Kluyveromyces lactis: one gene and its partners. Each later gene encodes a partner of the first gene's protein in a complex. Links are inferred from orthologs where the notes say so. Each region holds a gene or a part of one and is shown in the gene's direction. Other genes may lie near its edges.

The links. Proteins that work in one complex are often made in the same cells at the same time.
Region 2: the proteins of NPR3 (region 1) and MTC5 are in contact, whole or in part, in a cryo-EM structure (PDB 8ADL), measured with the Saccharomyces cerevisiae proteins. The link is inferred for Kluyveromyces lactis from reciprocal best matches to the Saccharomyces cerevisiae genes NPR3 and MTC5. Residues at the interface, in NP_011840.1 of Saccharomyces cerevisiae: Gln1067, Tyr1070, Thr1071, Ile1072, Ile1073, Leu1074, Glu1075, Glu1077, Arg1078, Ala1079, Thr1080, Ala1081, Glu1083, Lys1084, Arg1085, Tyr1088; in NP_010413.3 of Saccharomyces cerevisiae: Leu386, Asn389, Phe390, Val391, Thr392, Ser394, Gly395, Leu396, Val445, Glu447, Thr459, Asn461, Phe474, Arg476, Glu497, Glu498, Asn499, Ser500, Asn501.
Region 3: NPR3 (region 1) and SEA4 share a complex: the UniProt entries of both Saccharomyces cerevisiae proteins name them as parts of the SEA complex. The link is inferred for Kluyveromyces lactis from reciprocal best matches to the Saccharomyces cerevisiae genes NPR3 and SEA4.
Region 4: NPR3 (region 1) and RTC1 share a complex: the UniProt entries of both Saccharomyces cerevisiae proteins name them as parts of the SEA complex. The link is inferred for Kluyveromyces lactis from reciprocal best matches to the Saccharomyces cerevisiae genes NPR3 and RTC1.

The regions. Positions count from the first base shown.
Region 1 is NC_006042.1:1,679,503-1,684,498, reverse strand, and holds NPR3 (Npr3p), read left to right. Parts: upstream 1-1,665; coding exon 1,666-4,200; downstream 4,201-4,996. Other genes in the region: KLLA0_F18260g (zinc-dependent alcohol dehydrogenase), read left to right, coding at 36-1,082; KLLA0_F18216g (uncharacterized protein), read right to left, coding at 4,642-4,996. UniProt on the Saccharomyces cerevisiae protein: Component of the SEA complex which coats the vacuolar membrane and is involved in intracellular trafficking, autophagy, response to nitrogen starvation, and amino acid biogenesis. Mediates inactivation of the TORC1 complex in response to amino acid starvation.
Region 2 is NC_006042.1:1,824,935-1,830,079, forward strand, and holds the start of MTC5 (Mtc5p), read left to right. Parts: upstream 1-1,893; coding exon 1,894-5,145. Other genes in the region: ARO1 (pentafunctional protein ARO1p), read left to right, coding at 1-1,634. UniProt on the Saccharomyces cerevisiae protein: Component of the SEA complex which coats the vacuolar membrane and is involved in intracellular trafficking, autophagy, response to nitrogen starvation, and amino acid biogenesis. May be involved in telomere capping.
Region 3 is NC_006041.1:581,581-586,438, reverse strand, and holds SEA4 (Sea4p), read left to right. Parts: upstream 1-1,606; coding exon 1,607-4,504; downstream 4,505-4,858. Other genes in the region: NTO1 (Nto1p), read left to right, coding at 1-1,415. UniProt on the Saccharomyces cerevisiae protein: Component of the SEA complex which coats the vacuolar membrane and is involved in intracellular trafficking, autophagy, response to nitrogen starvation, and amino acid biogenesis.
Region 4 is NC_006041.1:1,870,498-1,875,478, forward strand, and holds the start of RTC1 (Rtc1p), read left to right. Parts: upstream 1-1,729; coding exon 1,730-4,981. Other genes in the region: KLLA0_E20945g (sugar porter family MFS transporter), read left to right, coding at 1-1,243. UniProt on the Saccharomyces cerevisiae protein: Component of the SEA complex which coats the vacuolar membrane and is involved in intracellular trafficking, autophagy, response to nitrogen starvation, and amino acid biogenesis. May be involved in a process influencing telomere capping.

The DNA.
Region 1 (4,996 bases):
ATCAAGCTAAAAAGAATATCAATATTAATTAAAAAATGTCCATTCCTGAAACTCAAAAGGGTGTTATCTTTTACGAAAACGGTGGTGAATTGCAATACAAGGACATTCCAGTTCCAAAGCCAAAGGCCAACGAACTTTTGATCAACGTCAAGTACTCCGGTGTCTGTCACACCGATTTGCACGCATGGAAGGGTGACTGGCCTTTGCCAACCAAATTGCCATTAGTTGGTGGTCACGAAGGTGCTGGTGTCGTTGTTGCTATGGGTGAAAATGTCAAGGGCTGGAACATTGGTGACTTTGCTGGTATCAAATGGTTGAACGGTTCTTGTATGTCCTGTGAATACTGTGAATTGTCCAATGAATCCAACTGTCCCGATGCTGACTTGTCTGGTTACACCCACGATGGTTCTTTCCAACAATATGCTACCGCTGATGCCGTTCAAGCTGCTAGAATTCCAAAGGGTACCGATTTGGCTGAAGTTGCTCCAATTCTATGTGCCGGTGTTACCGTTTACAAGGCTCTAAAATCTGCTGACTTGAAGGCCGGTGACTGGGTTGCCATTTCCGGTGCCTGTGGTGGTCTAGGTTCTTTGGCTATCCAATACGCCAAGGCTATGGGTTACAGAGTCTTGGGTATTGATACCGGTGCTGAAAAGGCTAAGTTGTTCAAGGAGCTAGGTGGTGAATACTTCGTCGATTATGCCGTCTCTAAGGATTTGATTAAAGAAATTGTTGACGCTACTAACGGTGGTGCCCACGGTGTCATTAACGTCTCTGTCTCCGAATTTGCTATAGAACAATCCACCAATTACGTTAGATCAAACGGTACCGTTGTATTGGTCGGTCTACCAAGGGACGCCAAATGTAAGTCTGATGTCTTTACACAAGTTGTCAAATCGGTCTCCATTGTTGGTTCTTACGTCGGTAACAGAGCTGACACCAGAGAAGCTCTAGATTTCTTCGCAAGAGGTTTAGTGCATGCTCCAATTAAGATAGTCGGATTATCTGAATTGGCAGATGTTTATGACAAGATGGTCAAGGGTGAAATCGTTGGTAGATACGTTGTCGACACCTCAAAATAATTTTACTTCAATATGGTTCGATAATGAATCCGGTTTTCTTCTCTCGCTCTGAATCCCTTCATACATAATTGATTTCAATAGCACTATATTTTACGTTTAATGAAACTTTCAAGAATAATAGTAGTAACATCAGGACCTTTTGAGATGTTCTAGTATCGATTACGCGATCCTACTTTCTTAGCAGACAATATTTTAATCTCTGTTTGTTCTTATCTAATTTTGAAAGTTAAAACTGCAGGAACATACACCACACGACAAATTAAAAGCCCTCAAATACATTCAGCAACGTTTGAGTTTTACTGTTCCAAAAACTTAAGCATATACGACACCCCGATATTAACAAACCAAAGGAGATTTCGTAGTGTCTACTTGTGCTGTCTCTCCAGTCATATATAGTTTCCCTTATTATTATAGAAATATCTACACATGAAAAATATGAAAATACGATAGTCATTTTACTTGATTAACTGATAAAACACCTAATATACAAAAGTACTGGGGTATAACTGCTAATTCGAAAGAATCTTTCCCTCAATCTAAGAGTTCAGCAGTCTATGAAGCTCCAAGAGATAGGAATAGCTCAATGTCCACGAATTTACCGAATTCCTGCTTAGTACAAATCGCATTAACTGTTTCAACTCATTCGGGTCCACAATTAATTTATCATTATCCACCAAGCAACTATGCTACTGCGACCAATTCGAAGAAGACGCATCACCCAGATATCAAGAAAAGATACGAGTATACGGACTCTGAAAACAATTCGTCTTCAGATGACTACTCTTCAGGTTTGAGTGATAGCGAGTTGTCGACTGACTATGCAGATTGTTCATCTGATGCATCAGAATCATCGTTAGACTCCCTTCCACAATCAAATCATGAGGATACTGTAAACAGCAGTACAAACAATACATTTATCAATAATGGTCTACGATCTCGTCAATCTCAGATTAGTGCGAATAAACTCTTTCAAGTGCTAAATCAGAATAATAACAATGTTGCAATCAATGGCGAAAACTCGTTGAGGGAATCGTTGCACTCGATTAGAACATCGACTAATATGTCTAGTACGACTGATCCGAGACCAGAAGATGAATTGGATGCAGTAGATGAAGAGTTGAAAATCTTGGTAGACGATTTGCTAGATGGTTCAATATTTCAGCAGGATACATTTCAGGATATCTCAAAAGTACTAAATTTCAATACAGAATTTGTAGCTGAACTCTGTTCTCCAAGAAAGGAGATGTGTAACACCAGATTTGAATTCACTGTGGATGACTTATGTTTCTTAGGGTTGCCAATTCACGCGGATCACAAAGGAAGATGGAAGAAATCAAAGAAGAGAAAGCAAGCTTCCAAACGTTCGGCTAGAAGTAGCACTGCACGAAACAGTATTAGTAGAAATAGTGTTGGTCGAAATAGTATTGGTCGAAACAGATCTAAAACAGAGAGTCAAGGACACATTAATGATGTTGAAGAACCTGCAGATGATGAGAATAGTGATTATGAACCATCCAAATCAGAAATGCTTAATGAAATGTACTGTGTGCCTGATGCGGAAAATGATGAATTCGAAAGTTTGCAGCAGAGTATAAACATGTTCCAGGTCTGCTTCATCATGAACCCAAAGATCATAGAATATAATGAAAGAGTCGATGATATGTATCATTACGTGGTGACTAGATTATCATTGATTTTAAGGTACATACAAGGAAAAACCGGTTATGTCACTAGGGAATGCGTGAAAATTATGAAGTGTAAGGACGAAGTTTCTAAACACTCTCGATATTATGAGTCTTTAAAATCTCCCTGGTCTAAAGGAAAATATATGTATGAAAGAATTCTTTACGAATCGTCACTAGCTAGAGCGTTAACAAAATGTTTCAATTGCATCCATAACAATGAAATTGCTAATCTTGAAATTGATGGTGATAAAATTGTTTCCTTGCAGATTCCAATCAAAAATGAATTTTCCATTCTTCCAAATTTAAAAGAAGATGCTGTTCTTCGTGGATCTTTCTTATCCTCAATACTAAACGAAAGTTTTATTGGTAGAAGCACTAGCTTGACAAACGAAGATTCAGATAATTTGTATGCCAACCACGACAGGCTTCTAGATTATGGATTGCTTTTGCTCGATGAACCTGAAAATATTATAAAAGGGCTTGAAAACGCTTCCTTTGATAACGGCGTTACTGATTTACTTTTGATCAACCTTGTAAGACAGTTGAAGCCCACTATAAGGCTTGGTCAATATAAATTATTAATTAAAGAGCTAATCGATTCTAATGATTCCTCATATGATGATCAATTCTGTGAAACTACTTTAAAGTCGTTATGTCTACATTTAATATACTGGCGTCACGCCCGTTTGATACTGCCAATATCATCGAGAAACACATATATAGTTTCTCCATTGGCGCCAATCTCAGGATTTTCAACTGATGACTTCAAACATGGCGAATACGACACCTTAATAAGACAACAAGAAGTTCCTGTGAATAACAACGATGAACCGTCGTTGATATACCAAAACAAGAAGGTATTCAATGAAAAATTTCCCTCCTTACCTTCTTTGCCATCGTTCCTTCAACTTATGTCAACCCAGAAACCCAGACCTTTCGGGCATATCATACCATCCAATGAACATAAATCTATGTATTTGAATGCCCTGGCATGGCTCATGAGGTACGGATACCTCACTCAATTATTGACGTTTGTGTATGTACGTGTGGACAAGCGCATTAAAATAGCTGTCGATGAGGATCTAGAAAAGGATAACTTAAGATCGAACAAACACGAAAAGTCCGGTAATTTTGTTACTGGAGGTGAAAATTATAACTCCAGTGAGTTTGATGATTTGGAGATGATCAACGATAATGATTTCACTATAATTCTTGAACCAGAACGTAATACTGCATTAGAAAAGAGATGGTTGTACAAATGTGCTGAGGCATTACCTACTGATCTTCAAACGCTATTTAGACAAGTGGTGAAATACTTTAATGGGAAGGTTTCTTTGGAGTACATTATGATTAAGGAAGGTATTCCTAAAAATGAGATAAAAAGATTGCTTCAGGCCTTAGGTAAGTACATCGTTGAAGTAAAACACTGGTAAATGCCCTATCCCCTTACATTGTTATTCTTCTAATCGATTCTACGCACAGGATTTTGTCAATGCATAATAATTAAGTACTATATAATAAGCCATTTTTGGAGTTGCATAACTTTATGTCATAACTAATCAATTCACTGTGTTTTATATTTTTTGTTTTGCATGTTGTAACCATAACAGTTTGTAATTCCGGAGAAGCTCGAACAGAAAACATATCTATATATATATGCCATGCATGTAAAGTTTAAGATGATATCTTAAGTTTATTTATCTAAAAGAGAAGGACATGTACAAATGAAACGCCACTGGGGAACATATTATAAGACGGTGCCGAGTATATGCCCTGTGGTTGACTAAAAAGAAGGTGAAAAAGAGTTAATCACTAGGAGGGCCTAAGATAGTGCAATGATTACGCTAAAAAAAAGTAGAAAGAAAATGACATATTCAATAGTCGAGGTCTGCTTTATCATGTCCAGAGACAGAATTATCCAAATAGTTCATACCGCCAGGGTGTTCGTGTGGGAATGGATTAGTAAATGTCGGTGTAGGAGGTGGCATAGGGAAGTAATAAAAGAATGGGGAATGTTGAGAAGGTGGACACTGTCCCGTCAAGTGAGCGCCCGGCTGAATCAAGTGAGAGGGCGGAGGGCCAACGGGGCTACCAGAAGGTGGACAGTACTCCATTGGGTAGTACACTGGCGGGCCGTAGTAGAAATTTGGATCCATCCTACCATGCCTTGGTGCATCTACATTTCTTCGCTTCTTGTAACTATGATTCTTTTGATAAGAACCAGTGTTA
Region 2 (5,145 bases), about 150 kb from region 1:
CCAATGAAATTGAATTCAGGAATTTAAGACATGTGTTCAGCAACTTCATTCGTCGTGTACTTGGCGCTGAAAAGATTCCTGTACCTTCCAGGAGATCAGCTTTCGTCTGTTTGACTTTCGAAGACCTATCGGATCATTTGTCAAAATTGGATGAAATAACCTATGGTTGTGAAGCAGTAGAACTAAGAGTTGATCATTTATCATCCTTTTCTTCAGACTTTGTCACCAAACAAATCTCCTTGTTAAGAGCTGCAACCAAATCGCTACCTATTGTTTTCACTGTGAGAACAGTTAGCCAAGGAGGGAAATTCCAAGATGATGATTATGATTTACTTGAATCATTGTTGAAGGTCGCTCTGAAGAACGCTGTTGAATACATCGATTTAGAGTTGACATTGCCTAACAACATACTCTACAATGTTTTGAACAAGAAATCAAACACAAAGATTATTGGCTCCCATCATGATTTTGCAGCTAAATTCCCATGGGATGATGCTGAATGGGAAAATAGATATAACCAAGCTCTTTCTTTAGACGTGGACATTGTGAAGTTCGTTGGCACAGCAGTAAGCTTCGATGACAATTTGGCTTTGGAAAAATTCAGGTCCACTCATACTTTGAAGCCACTAATTGCTATCAATATGACTGAAACAGGTAAGCTATCCAGGGTGCTAAATAATATTTTGACACCTGTTACCTCCAAGTTACTACCATCCGCCGCTGCCCCTGGTCAATTGACACTAGCTGAAATCAACCAATTGTATCACCAAATCGGTGGATTACCAGCCAAGAAGTTCTTTGTTATTGGTTCTCCAATTGGACATTCCAGATCTCCGATCTTGCACAACACTGGGTATGAGCTACTAGGCTTACCTCATCATTTTGATAAATTCGAAACTGAAGATATCGAAGTAGTTAAGAAAGAACTTTTGACCAGAGAAGATCTCGGTGGCTTAGCTGTAACCATCCCATTAAAACTAGATATTATTGATAGTATGTTTGAATTGAGCGAAGCCGCAAAGACCATTGGCGCTGTAAACACTGTTATTCCTTTAGGAAAGAACAAATTCAGGGGTGACAATACTGATTGGTTAGGTATCAAAAACTCTTTGGTTTCAAATGGTGTTCCTAGTTCTGTTAGTGGTTCTGCAGGTCTGATTATCGGTGCTGGTGGTACTTCAAGAGCTGCTATATACGCTTTGAAACAAATTGGTTGTGACACCATTTATATGCTCAACAGAACCACGGAGAAACTACAAAAGCTGAAATCCGAATTTTCCGAAGAATATAAGATTGTTGTCGTCGAATCTGCCGAACAAACAGAGTCAATTAAGGAACAAGTTTCTGTTGCTGTTTCTTGTGTTCCAGCTGATAAGCCTTTAGATCCAGAGTTACTAAACAAATTGGAAAGACTTTTGGCAAAAGGTACAAATAGCTCCTTCAAACCAACCTTGTTAGATGCCGCATATAAGCCTTCAGTGACCCCTATCATGAAGCTCGCACGTGATAAGTTCAACTGGAATATCGTTCCGGGCGCTGAAATGTTGGTTCATCAAGGTGTGGAACAATTTTCTAAATGGACAGGTGCAAAACCACCATTTAAAGCTATCTTTGATGCAGTTACCCAAGAATAGATAAAACATTAGATACATTTAAACTTCAAATAACGTCACGAATGATTAATAATAGCTTTCTAACTCCCCTTTTTATGTATGTCTAATCCACTATTTGTTAATATTCCTTAAAGCATTATTAACTGTTGATAGGAAAAAATGAATCATGAATATATAATGAAACAAAGCACAATTCAATAGGAAACATCATTCGTATATTGAATTCTAGTAAGGTTCGTGTTTTTTAGAGGTTTCGATATAAGCCACACTTTGAGATTGAATGTCTGAATACGTAGGGGAAGGTCCTTACTCATCACCAACCTTCGGGAAATCACTTTCTCTTCGGGTTGATGGTGGATTTAATGCTGTTTCTATCAATCCATCTGGTAGAGATGTCGTATTAGCCAGTCGAAAGGGCCTTTATGTGGTAGACTTGGATGATCCTTTCTCAGAGCCTCGATGGTTACACCATCTCACGTCTTGGGAGGTTGCTGACGTGCAGTGGTGCCCGCATCCGGCCAAGCATCACTGGGTTATATCTACGTCGAATCAAAAAGCAATTGTATGGAATCTATCTAGAAGCTCTTCTAAAGCAGTGGAGCATGTATTACATGGCCATTTCAGAGCCATTACAGATATAAATTTCCACCCGTTGCAACCAGAAATCCTAGCTACTAGTTCAATTGATACTTACGCCCTGGCTTGGGATATGAGAAGCCCCAAGAAGCCTTATTTTAGAACCAGTAACTGGAGATCTGGTGCTGCACAAGTCAAATGGAATCACAAAAATTCCAATGTATTAGCAACCTCGCACTCGAATATCGTGTATGTTTGGGATGTAAGAAAGGGTACATCTCCGTTATCTGTATTAGAAGGTCATAGCGGAAGCGTTAATAGCATCGACTTCAATCCATTCAACGAAACCGAAATCATGTCAAGTGGGAATGACGGAACGGTAAAGTTCTGGGATTATAATAAAGTTGAAGATGAACTACAGATGACAATTACCACAGAGTTTCCTGTGTGGAGAGGACGATATCTCCCGTTTGGGGACGGATATTGCATCATGCCGATGATAGGAGGAAATAATTCTGTATATTTGGCGAACTCTTTTCATGACTCAGGCAATTCTGAGTCAAGGACTACCAAACTACAGCCAACGTACGTTTTCAAGGGGCATACAGATAGAGTCACGGACTTCTTATGGAGATCGAGGCACAGTCAAAATACCATCATTGATGACAGAGAATTCCAATTGGTTACTTGGTCCAAAGATTGCGATTTAAGACTATGGCCAGTACCCGATATGGTTTACGACAAAGTTCACTACGAATGTGGCAAAGAGCTGCCGGAGAAGCTACCAGATTATGATTACGACACTTTTAGATCAGAACCTGAAAATAATATAGTAGATCCCCGGTACACAAATATAGAAATTCCGAAGGAAACCTTTGTTACAAAATCCGGACTACGCCAATGGAAAGCTGACAACAATATAGATCAACTACAATGGATTTCGGGTGTGAGAATGCATAACGAAGATTCACCGCATGATCTATTTGAAGAGGTGAGTTTAAACAATCTTGGAGAAGAAGTCACTTCCGTTGGGCACAAGTTCCCTAGAATTGTTTTTGAAAAAATTTCGGTTTCGACAGGAGAGTTAATTATTACTTTAAATGGTCCATGGGTGGAAGAAGATCCAGAAAAATACATTTTCATGCGTATTATTATTAACTTCCCGCCAAACTACCCCATGAAAGGAAATGAACCTGCGTTCAAGATTGAAGAGAACAGGGAATTAAAAGAACATCAAAAAACTCAGATAATGGAACGACTAAGAGAAATCAGCAAAAAATATGTCGATGCAAATCGATATTGCCTTGAGCCGTGTTTACAGTACCTACTTGGAGAAGAAGTTAACTTGGATATTTCCGACATGGAGGACGACAATAAAATTTTCAGCTTTGATTTCGAAGATGTAACTTCTTTAGATAGATCATCTTTGGGTTCATCTGATGATCATAGCGATGCTCCTACAGAGATTTCTTCTGTATCAGATGTTGAATTCGCTGTCGGGGATGGTTCTTTGCAATTGTATTCTAGTACACCAGAACCAAAATTTGATAGCACACCTGTCCCCAACGGTTGTGGAGCAGTTTGGACCGCTCAAGGAACCCTTGTTTGCTTCTTTAGAGCTGAGAATAAAACTGAAAAAAAGCAACACGCCATAATCAATGTTGGTAGAACTGGTATTGGAGGTTTTGTGAGATCAAAAAATGTCCAGAGTGCGTCACAAACTTTGAAGGATAACGTATCGGGAAAACAAAGAAAGCCAAAAACTTATAGAGAAGCGCTATCCATAAACTCACAACATGCCAGTGAATCACTAAATCAATCATCAGATTCGGATTCAGATGATAGTGATGATAGCTATGCTGAGTTCTTGGATGATATATTGAAAAATGATCTCACACTAAGGACTAGGATGCCAATGATGCCACGCATATTCCGTGATGAGACGAAATCTACTACGAGTGTATCCGGAAAAACCACCGATTCAAATAAAAAAAGCAAGTCATCTATAGTCGTTCAAGATTTTAAAAGTTTGATTCCCGACAAAAAAGAGCTAGCTGAACAGTATATTTTATTTCGGGAAACTCCTGAATTTGTTGCGAAGTACAATGCAGGCATTGCGGAAAGTTACGGCTATGAAGATATCGCGCAATGCTGGAGAATGATTTCTAATGTTTTAATAGGAAGAGGAGATAACGATTTCTACAATTATGATTGGGACCAGCATTCATTGGGTGGTAAACTTTTAGTGAAAAGACTATTCGAGTATTTTGAGAAGTGCCAAAATCTTCAAATGCTTGCAATGATGAGCTGCATCTTTGCTACGCTTGGAAGGCCAGATCAGAAAACAAATTATAAACTAGTTCCGCCTACTTTATCAGAAAACATCATTACATTTTATAACAATGAATACGAGCCATCGCCACATGTTCATTCCACTCACGGATCGTTCTACTCTAATGACACAGGTACACAAAATGCGAGAATGAGATATGGCACCAATCAAGCCTCATTGAACGATGGCTCTTCTATCATATCTGATGATTATTTCCATCAAAATCATCATGCTAACGGAAACAAGAACGGGAAATCCCATAATAATATGAACAATGGGTATGTAGAAACTGAAGCGACAATTCCCGATATCAAGATCAAACTAATTCATGACGATGTTTTGGATCTTGCCTACCAAGGTCTGGAACCTTCGTTGGTAGATCCGAAATGTGAAACCAAGTTCAGACAATATAGAACGCAATATGCAGAGATACTTTATATATGGGGGTTGCCTATGGATAGGGCCGAGTTGTTGAAGTTTAATGTAAATTTAAACACAGAACCTGAATACTTGCATGGGATCGAACAAGATTCGGGATTGGATATTTACAAAGGTGTATCGAATAGGTGGATTGAATCTAACCACGGACACACTCAACAAAACTGTAGCTACTGTGGCCTCAAA
Region 3 (4,858 bases), on another chromosome or scaffold:
TTTGCGATGGTTGCGATATCGCCGTACATCAGGAATGCTATGGTGTAGTTTTCATTCCAGAAGGTCAGTGGCTTTGCCGAAGATGCATGATATCCAAAAATAGAAAGCTCGAGTGTCTCTTTTGTCCCAGTACCACTGGAGCTTTCAAACAAACGGATAACGGATCGTGGGGCCATGTGTTATGTGGAATTTGGATACCAGAGCTTTATTTCGGAAATCTACACTATATGGAGCCGATTGGAGGAATAGAGAATATCCCGAAAAGTCGATGGAAGCTCACATGTTATATTTGCAAACAAGAGGTCGGTGCTTGCATCCAATGCTCGAATAAGAACTGTTTTGCAGCGTATCACACTACGTGCGCTAAAAGAGCTGGATTATACATGAACTTCAATGGATGTACAGTTCAAGAGGCTGCCTCAAAAAACTTTTCCACAGGTGCTTTCCTGGAAAGTTTTTGTCACAAACATTCTCCTAACGGCTGGAGTAGCTGTGAAGACGGAATTCGTAAAACTAGGGATTATTTTAATCACATTAATCATCACAAGGTGCTACAAGACAGTGCCGTGGAAGAAAACAAGCAATCTGCCAAGAAAACCATTAAGAATAAATGGAAAACCAGTAGGGGAACTTTAATTGCACCTCAAGCCTTCGCAGATATTACAATGAGAGTTTTAAACAGATTTCATGTTCCAAATTCCGAGCAAATTTCGTTGGATATATGCAAGTACTGGACAATGAAAAGAGAACTCAAAAGAGGCGCTCCTTTGGTAAGAAAGTTCAGCCCATCTTCTTTGAATACTCTAGATACCGAAGAGCTAAATGACAGAATCGTATTCTCAGAAGTTCTTTTGAGAGACCTCAATTCATTGGAAGGTCTTGCATCATCTTTGGTGGCTAAACAAGAATGTAATGTTGAAAGGGTAAGAAACCAAAGGATCATAAACGACATTGCGTTCCATCCGATAAGGTATATATTGAAGGATGTTGTGTGGAACAATCTCACAAAGACTTTATCTTTTAAATCTTTTGCAGACCTCGAATCATCTTCAAATTTCAAGGTCATACCTTACATTAGCTCCAGGCTTGAAAATGATGAATACTTATCTGTCCAAGAATTCAAGGATGAATTTGTTGGAAATATAGTGAAAATAACATCCAATGAGAGGTCACCGAGATCACTGGTAATAATGGGATCTAAGCTCATCAACGATCTTAACAAACTTTTATCTAAGATTGATGAGTTAGATGTACATACTTTATTACATGACGATTTCGATATAGATGAGAGAACACATCAAGTAGAAGAGGTTAATTGGAAGGGCCGGAAAATACTTGCACGCGAAGGACTAGCTGATGTTGAAGATTTATCGATCAAACAGGAAAGACAATTGAAAGGACTACTACGTGACTGAATTATCCATCAAGTTTTCGTTCACTCAGTACTTAACTCTCCTGTTCCTATGTACATATATCCGGGTAATAAAACTATATACGGTAAATTATTTCAAGATAACTTCAGAATGAGTGATAAGATGCATCAAATAATATTACGGTATTCAATGTAGTAAAGCATCTGTCGAGGCCAATCCACCAGTATTACTTCATGGGCTTGATTAAACGCGTTCCTTGTTGGCCAAATGTGGAAGGGTTGGATTTTTTGTCTGTTAATCCTACAAGAGATGAAGTTTCTCATTACCGAGTGAAGCTGGATGTGGAGACAGACGAGTCCATCGTTAAGGTGAATACAGTAAAGGACTTTGGAAATATAACATGTCTAGATTACTCTAATACAGATGAAGGTATAGTAGGTGTCGGTGAGAAAAGCGGTGTTGTACGGTTATTTAATATTTTGGATACGGACGATGCATACGAGCCGTTCGATCTACGAGTACGAGCAAAGCACCAGCGAACTATCAACAGTTTGAGTATAAATACAAATGGCCTAATAGCCATGGGTTTAGATCGCAATAAGCATGATGCCTCTGTACAGGTGTGGGATGTAAACTACCAAAGCACGGAATCAAATGTTATCACACCATCTTTTTCATATTGTTTGAACGAAAGTATCGTGTCATTGAAATTTGTCGACGATACCAGCATCTTAGCTGCAAGTTCAAAACTCTTGAAAGAAATTGACCTTAGAGCTCCTAATCCTATATACCAGCATCCAACTCGTGTCTCATATGACATCAAGATAAATCCTTTTAACCCTTGGCAATTCTCAACATATGCTGACGATGGTACGTTGGCCTTTTGGGATAGAAGAAAGCTAGCAAGTAACTCTGAAGACACTGAGTTTTTGGAGGCACAACCATTACTTAAATTTGACAAACTTGTTGGTCATGGTGCAGCTTCTAGAAAATATATGAATTCATGTTTCAGATGGTCTCCATTGAGAAGTGGAGAGTTTTCGACATTACACGCAGGCACTACAATTAAACGCTGGAGATTGGCCAACGTACCAGATTTAGAGTCGAATAACGAACTAAATGATTCCTTGTTCGTTTCCACGGTGAATGACATTAAAACGACTTTTGATCGTGTTGTTACCTTCGATTATATACCCAAGAGTACTGGCAGAACAAGTCTTCTATGCATGAGACAATCCGGAACTATCTATCGGATGAATGTCGAACAAGGATTTTCACAATCGAAAATCAATAACTACAATAGCATAATGTCTATCTCAGATCAAAACAATGATGTCAACGAATTGAGAATAACAGGTGAGGATGAAGTTTCATTGCTGGAAAATTTAGATACCGGGCTAAAAAACTTGTCTTTCGAAGACCTGGATACAGGAGATGACTTGAAGATATTAACTCTGGATGAAAAAAAATCATCCGGAAGTATGGAAGATGACGGCGATTACTTGAGTGATTCTGAAGACGTTAAAGAGTTTTACATCGAGGCAGAGAAGCTGTTACAGAATGATATAAGTTTTATAATGCGTAAACGCGCGAGTCTGGGATATGGTCTTGATCCAATGAAAACTGTCGAAATGATGGATAAATCCGATAACTTCAATAACAATATCTACATTCGCAATACTTGGAGATGGATGGCGATAGCGAAGGCATCCATAGCTGACGGAACAATGGTTTCAGGAGACTTAGATTTAGGCTACGAAGGCGTTTTAGGGATATGGAATGGTCTTGAAGGTCTCTCCAATCAGAATCGTTATAGATCTGGAGGAATGCTCACAGAAAAGCAGTTAAACAAGGAATTGGAGAAGATCATTAAGATGAGAAGCAAGAGTAAAAACAAAATTGGGAATGTTTCCAGTTTAAATTCCGAAATGTCATCAAAAAAGGCCATTCAGAGAAGACTCTGTATGATTATTAGTGGCTGGGATTTGTCTCCTTCAGATTACGAAGAAAAATATAAATCACTAATAGCTCAAAATCACTATGAGAAAGCTGCTGCCTGGGCTGTCTTCTTCGGTGACGTTCAGAAAGCTATATCTATTTTGGGATCTGCAAATAAAGAACGTCTTAGACTCATTGCTGCGGCCATTGCAGGTTATCAAGCTTATAGTGAAAAGCCAGGTGACAATGCATGGAGACAGCAATGTAGAAAAATGGCTGCTGAGCTTGATGATCCCTATTTGAGAGTCATTTTTGCATTCATTGCAGACAATGATTGGTGGGATATCCTGTATGAGAGCGCTATCTCTCTAAGGGAAAGGCTTGGTGTTGCTCTTAGATTTCTAAATGACACAGATCTAACCAGATTTTTAGAAAAAACTGCTACTACTGTTATTGAAAATGGTGAACTAGAAGGATTGATCTTGACTGGTATAACGCCTAATGGTATTGATCTTCTACAATCGTACGTTGGAAAGACTAGTGATATTCAAACTGCTGCACTAATTTCAGTTTTCGGCTCCCCAAGATACTTCATGGACCCAAGAGTTGATGAATGGGTTGAAACATATCGCCATATGTTAAATTCCTGGGAATTTTTCACTATGAGGGCCAAGTTCGATGTGCTCAAGACAAAATTATCTAGGACTAGTGATGGTCGAATTACAGCGAAGTTAAAACCTCGTCAAATGTATTTACAATGTTCCAAATGTAAGAAGAATATCAACAGACCCATTGATGTGTCTTCTAATGCATCCCTACCAAGACATGCTAATCAAAACTTAAATGCAGGAAAGAAATTCGGCCTCAATAATACAAACGGTGATGTCCCCCAACAGAAACATTCATGTCCACATTGTGGCACGCCTTTCCCAAGATGTGCTATTTGTCTCTTGCCATTGGGTACTTCAAATCTCCCCATAGTCATCAATGGCACCACCAACTCATGTGAAGTACGAATCGATGACGACGCGAAAATTAACGAGGTCAAGGAAAGAAAGCGTTTGAAAATGAACGAATGGTTCAGTTTCTGTCTCAAGTGTAATCATGGTATGCATGCCGGTCATGCAGAGGAATGGTTTGAAAGACATTCAATTTGTCCTGTTCCTGGGTGTTCGTGTTTATGCCATCAATGAAACACTCTACCAATATTTCGGACCTAAACGCTCTAGGATAAATCATTAAACTTGTTATTCAGCGTATATAATCTCTTTAATCCTTAACCTCGCCAAAAACTCATTTCTCCCACTATTAGTACATACAAATATCTCATATGCAGATATCAAGCGGCTGAACGTTGCTTTCAGAATGAATCATTACGCATCCACAAAATAATGATACTAGCAACGCAGTACCATACTTGGAAAACTTCCCCGAGCATATTCATCGAGTTATAGGATGGACCGTGGTTCAGCGATGGAACTTAAAGCCATCTTTTCCATCATTGCCCACCGTCATTCGCATGAGCGCAAGCCTCTTCACGTGACTAG
Region 4 (4,981 bases), on another chromosome or scaffold:
TTTCAATATCAGTTGCGCACTTGGTGGATTATTTCTAGTGAAGATTGCTGATATTAATGGAAGAAAACCAGGTATTTATGCTGCAATCACTATCTATTCGTTGGGAACATTGATTGGCTGGACATGTGGCTCCTCTTGGTGGTATTTCTTCTTCGCAAGGTTCATTTCAGGACTTGGTGTTGGTGCTACTGCGGTGATGATACCAATGTTTATAGCCGAATCTGCTCCCATCAACATTCGTGGTGCCATGGTTGTGCTCTACCAGTTAATGATCACTCTTGGAATTTTGCTCGGAAATGTCATCAACTATTGTTGCAGATCCACTTTACACGAAACAGATAATGCCACATGGAAGATCCCTGTAGGATTAGGAAACGTCTGGGCCGCTATCGTCGCGCTAGGTGTTCATTTTATGCCTGAATCACCAGTTTTTCTTACCAAGAGGTTAGGAAGCGCTCTCAAAGCTAAGGCAGCTTTTGCCCATATGAACAATTTGGACGTAGATGATCCAATTGTGGATAGTCATATTAGGAAGATGATGGAATCAGCTGACGCGGAGGTATCTACTCACAATGATATGAAGAACAGCAGGTTTGAATTCATACTCGGTCAACCAAGATTAGGTTTTAGACTATTTATTGGTATTATGGTGATGGCGTTTCAACAGCTATCCGGTGCAAATTACTTCTTCTATTATGGTACAACACTTTTCAACTCTGTGGGAATTGAAGACCCATACTTAACGTCGATTTTATTGTCTTCTGTCAACTTCATATCTACCTTTTTCGGTATTTATTTAGTTGAAAAGTTAGGCAGAAAAGCATGCTTAATTCTTGGTTCCGCGGGTATGTTTACCTGTATGTCCGTGTATGCGTCAGTCGGATCGTTCGCACTTAATAAGTCGCCTCAAAACTCTGGTGCGATTATGGTTACCTTCACGTGTGTTTACATCATGTTCTTTGCATGCACATCGGGACCTGTGTCCTTTGTCGTCATTTCGGAGTTGTTTCCAAGCAGGACAAAAGCGATATCCATGGCAGTGTGTACCTCAATCAATTGGCTTTGCAACTTCTTCATTTCTTTATGCACACCATATGTCACTGATAAGATAGGCTTCAAGTTTGGGTTCGTTTTTGCTGGTTGTCTATTTGTCTCATTCTGGTTCTTCACTTTCTTATTGAAGGAAACTAAGAACAAAACTCCTGAACAGGTTGACGCATTGTATTCTATTGACAAGCAATAGGCAATGGACCATACAGGTATACTTCTACAAACAAAGAAATTTACAATGAGCTCAACTGTTCACATAATCTACTGAAGCCTCCCGATTTCTCTGTTCGAGTGTGCGCTTGAATCGCTCTCCTTCATATAATTTCACTGTGTAAAACCTATTAACTTTCTCATTACGTATCATTTTACAAGTGTCTCAATGGCATTAAATTTGTAATTATTTCAGAAGAATTTTAATAACAAGGCATTTCTGTCTCCCAGCCCTGTGATATCTTAATACTTCTATTTACTCTTGTGTTGTTTTATCGGGCTCTCACTTATCAATCACCGAAGATGATTCCTGATTCCTCATATATTTACTCAACAAGAAAAAAAGGAAGAGATGGCAATATGTAATTGAAAATATGAAAGCACTCACATACTATGATTCAAAAATCCAGCAATTGGTTGTAAGCCAAATAAACCGGTGATCGAGAGCACTGAGTATTGTTGCTCAACGATGTTTAAAAGAGGTTCAAACAGAGCTACTTCGTCTTCTCAAGGGCAGCAACCAGAAAATCCTCCCTCTCTGAAATATCAGTCGTCAAGTTCACGATACTCTTTTCATCGACAGTACAACACAGGTTTTGGAACTTCACCTTTTAGGATATCACCTAAGTATAAACCAGATAGCCGCACTCCCTTCAGTTTTGATGGTACGGGAAATGTTGGACCAGAGAGCTCTCTTAATGAAGAAGAATCAAATGCAAGATGGAGACCTTCTGAAAGTTCATTTGACAAACGTAGAACTTTCCACGGCGCTAAATACTCTCTGAGTATCGGAAAGGAAGTCTCAAGTATAGATAAAATCAATTCACCGGAGAGCAGATCCTTGATAATAGCAGGAAAAAGCCATTTAGGTATTTACACTTTCGATGAAGATTCTAAGACGATAACTAATGTACATGATTTCTTACAGACAGCGAAGACAAATACTGGGATCACGAAGAACACTTCATCGACACTACGGAGAACAACAAAAAAAATTTCAACCATATCTGATGTTAAAGCTGGCTTTTACAATCACAAAAACTATGTAGCAATTTGTGGTACTTCAACGTCTGTTGCGATTTACGATATTAATAAGACATCAGCGATAGACAATCCAGTTGTAACATCTCTCTCAGAACATACAAGATCTATCAATAGTGTGGATTTCAATATGGTGCAGACAAGCTTATTAATTAGCGGTGGACAAGATGGATGCATAAAGATTTGGGATTTGAGATCTCCTAAAATCTCCACCACTAGGAGTGATGTAAGTATCAACACCGGGTCTGATTCCATTAGAGACGTAAAATGGATGCCTTCTTACGAGTTTTCTAATGATACCAATGGTCTTTCAAACAGACATTTCAAATTTGCCAGTGTGCATGACTCTGGATTATTATTGAAGTTTGATTTGAGACAACCAAACCAAGCTGAAAAAAAGATTAATGCACATTCTGGTCCCGCCTTATGTTTGAATTGGCATCCGCATCAGGACTACATTATTAGTGGTGGAAGAGACGGAAAATGTTGCTTGTGGTATGTAGGCGACAAATCTAATCAAGTTGGTAACATTAGTAGTACCAACCTCAATTCAAGTAATCCAGCAACGCATAATTTATCATCATCATACCCCTTGGGGCTATCCAACACCCTTGCATTTCCTGAGCTCACAATAAATACCGCTCGTTCCATGAATAAACTTAAGTTTCGTCCAAAATATGAGACGAATGTATTCAATTCATTGATTGGGACTTCATCCATGGGCGAAGATTCGGATGTATCTGTTTATTCGCTAGCAAGAAAATATATTCCTAAAAACGTTATTGCTTCCAGTGCACCTTCTGTTGGTTTTGTCTGGTGGGATGACGACACGATATTCAATATAGACAAGCAAAATACCGTTACTGGGTGGGATATCTCTCATGAACCGACTGTACTTGATAATTTGCCGAAAAACACAATAAAATGGAGAGATTTGGATGGCGATGGTATTCTGTTTTTGGACCAAAAACCAGGTGGGTATTTGTCTCAAGAAGAGACAGTTTTGACACCAGGTAGTGGAGAGAATCGCAAGATGCCTTTCACACACAGAATGAGTAGTGCAACTGCTAACAGTTTTACTGGAGGAAATAATCCTAACATTACAAGCAACACAAGTAGCAGTGCCGCAAGTTTCTCAAAAAACCCGACACTTGGCATGTCTCAACTTCACCAGGGCAACGTATTAGGTGAAAGGTCAACTATGTCAAAGCATGCACAATCCGTTAACAGCAAATTTTCGCCTTCGGTTAACAGCTCGCCGTGGACCAATCCGTATTCGTCCCCTCATCATAACTCAATCGTGTCAGGATCGGAATCGGCATTACATGCGGTTAATGATTCCTTTCTACAATCTCCATATTTGATAGGATTAGACTTTCCGCATATTTTGAACACAATACGGAACACTAGGCTCGCAGAATTTAACAGAAAGGTCGAAAGTGCAGCTTTATTAGAATTAAAGTCATCTCCAACTGAAGTTTTCAAGTTTTTAGCACGGGAATTGAAGTTTTCGTATAAATATAACAGTATTGAAACAAAAGACAACGGCCGAGAGCTTGATTCATCGAGCACACATGGCTCAGTGGATTCTAAAACGAATTTGATGGAAAAGTTGGGGTTATCTGAAAATAATACTTGGACTCATTTGATCAAATATACGAAATCTCACGACTCTGACGAAGTCATATCGAAAGGCACAGAGCTTAAAACACCAGTTTCTGACAAAAGTGCTAATATCGAAAAATCAGCTACGAATCATAAAGCTGAAACCAATCAGGATGAGAACAGTTCCTGCATCAACTCTTCAAACCAGGTAAAAACCAAAAACCTCATCGAACTGATAACTCTATGTGATAAGAACGCTGAAATTTATATCATGCTTGAGGACTTTTCAAACTACAAAATTTGGCTTCTAATGCGGGATTCATTATTATGGGACTTGAAAGTCCTAACCGAGTCAATGGCTGTTGACGTGACAGCTGACCAAGAAGTCAACGATCAATCGTCCATTGACCAACCTTGGAAAAAAAATGACAGTTTTACTAGCTTGAAAGAGGCAAGGCAAGCATCTGTTGCTAGTGGCTACAGTTCATATAGTGCTACGGATCTGAGCTCCTCGGTAAATACAAATAATAGACATTCTTTCAACGAACCCACTCATCTAACCCAAACTCCTCCAGTATCACATTTAAAGGCTCAACTTCAAGGTTCAAAAGAAACTACGACTATATCGAGGGCTGACTCGATTCAAAATTCGTTACAGAACGATATCATCGAAATTAGAAAGCTGCGTCAATCTCATGGAGATAGAGCAGAACTAGCAATTGATGAAGAGGAAGAAGGAGAAGAAAGAGAGGAACTTACAAAAAGGGCGTTCGAAGAAGATGAAAACAATAAACAATTCATTAATATCCCAAGAAGGGAATCAGGGCCTAGCGCTCTCATGCCGAGTCCTTCTCATGTTTCCTCACAAAGCGAAATTCCTTCAAATCCGGAAAACCATCACCAGCCACGTCGGCCGCGGACATCTTTTATAGACTCCTTCATGTCACAATTACGTTCTCCAGGATCGTCAAATGTTGATGCTGATAGGGAAAGTACTGGTAGCAAAAAATCTTCCATGCCAAGCTTTAGCTCTTCGGCTGCCACATTTTTGAATAGCAAGAAATCGCAAAACGCG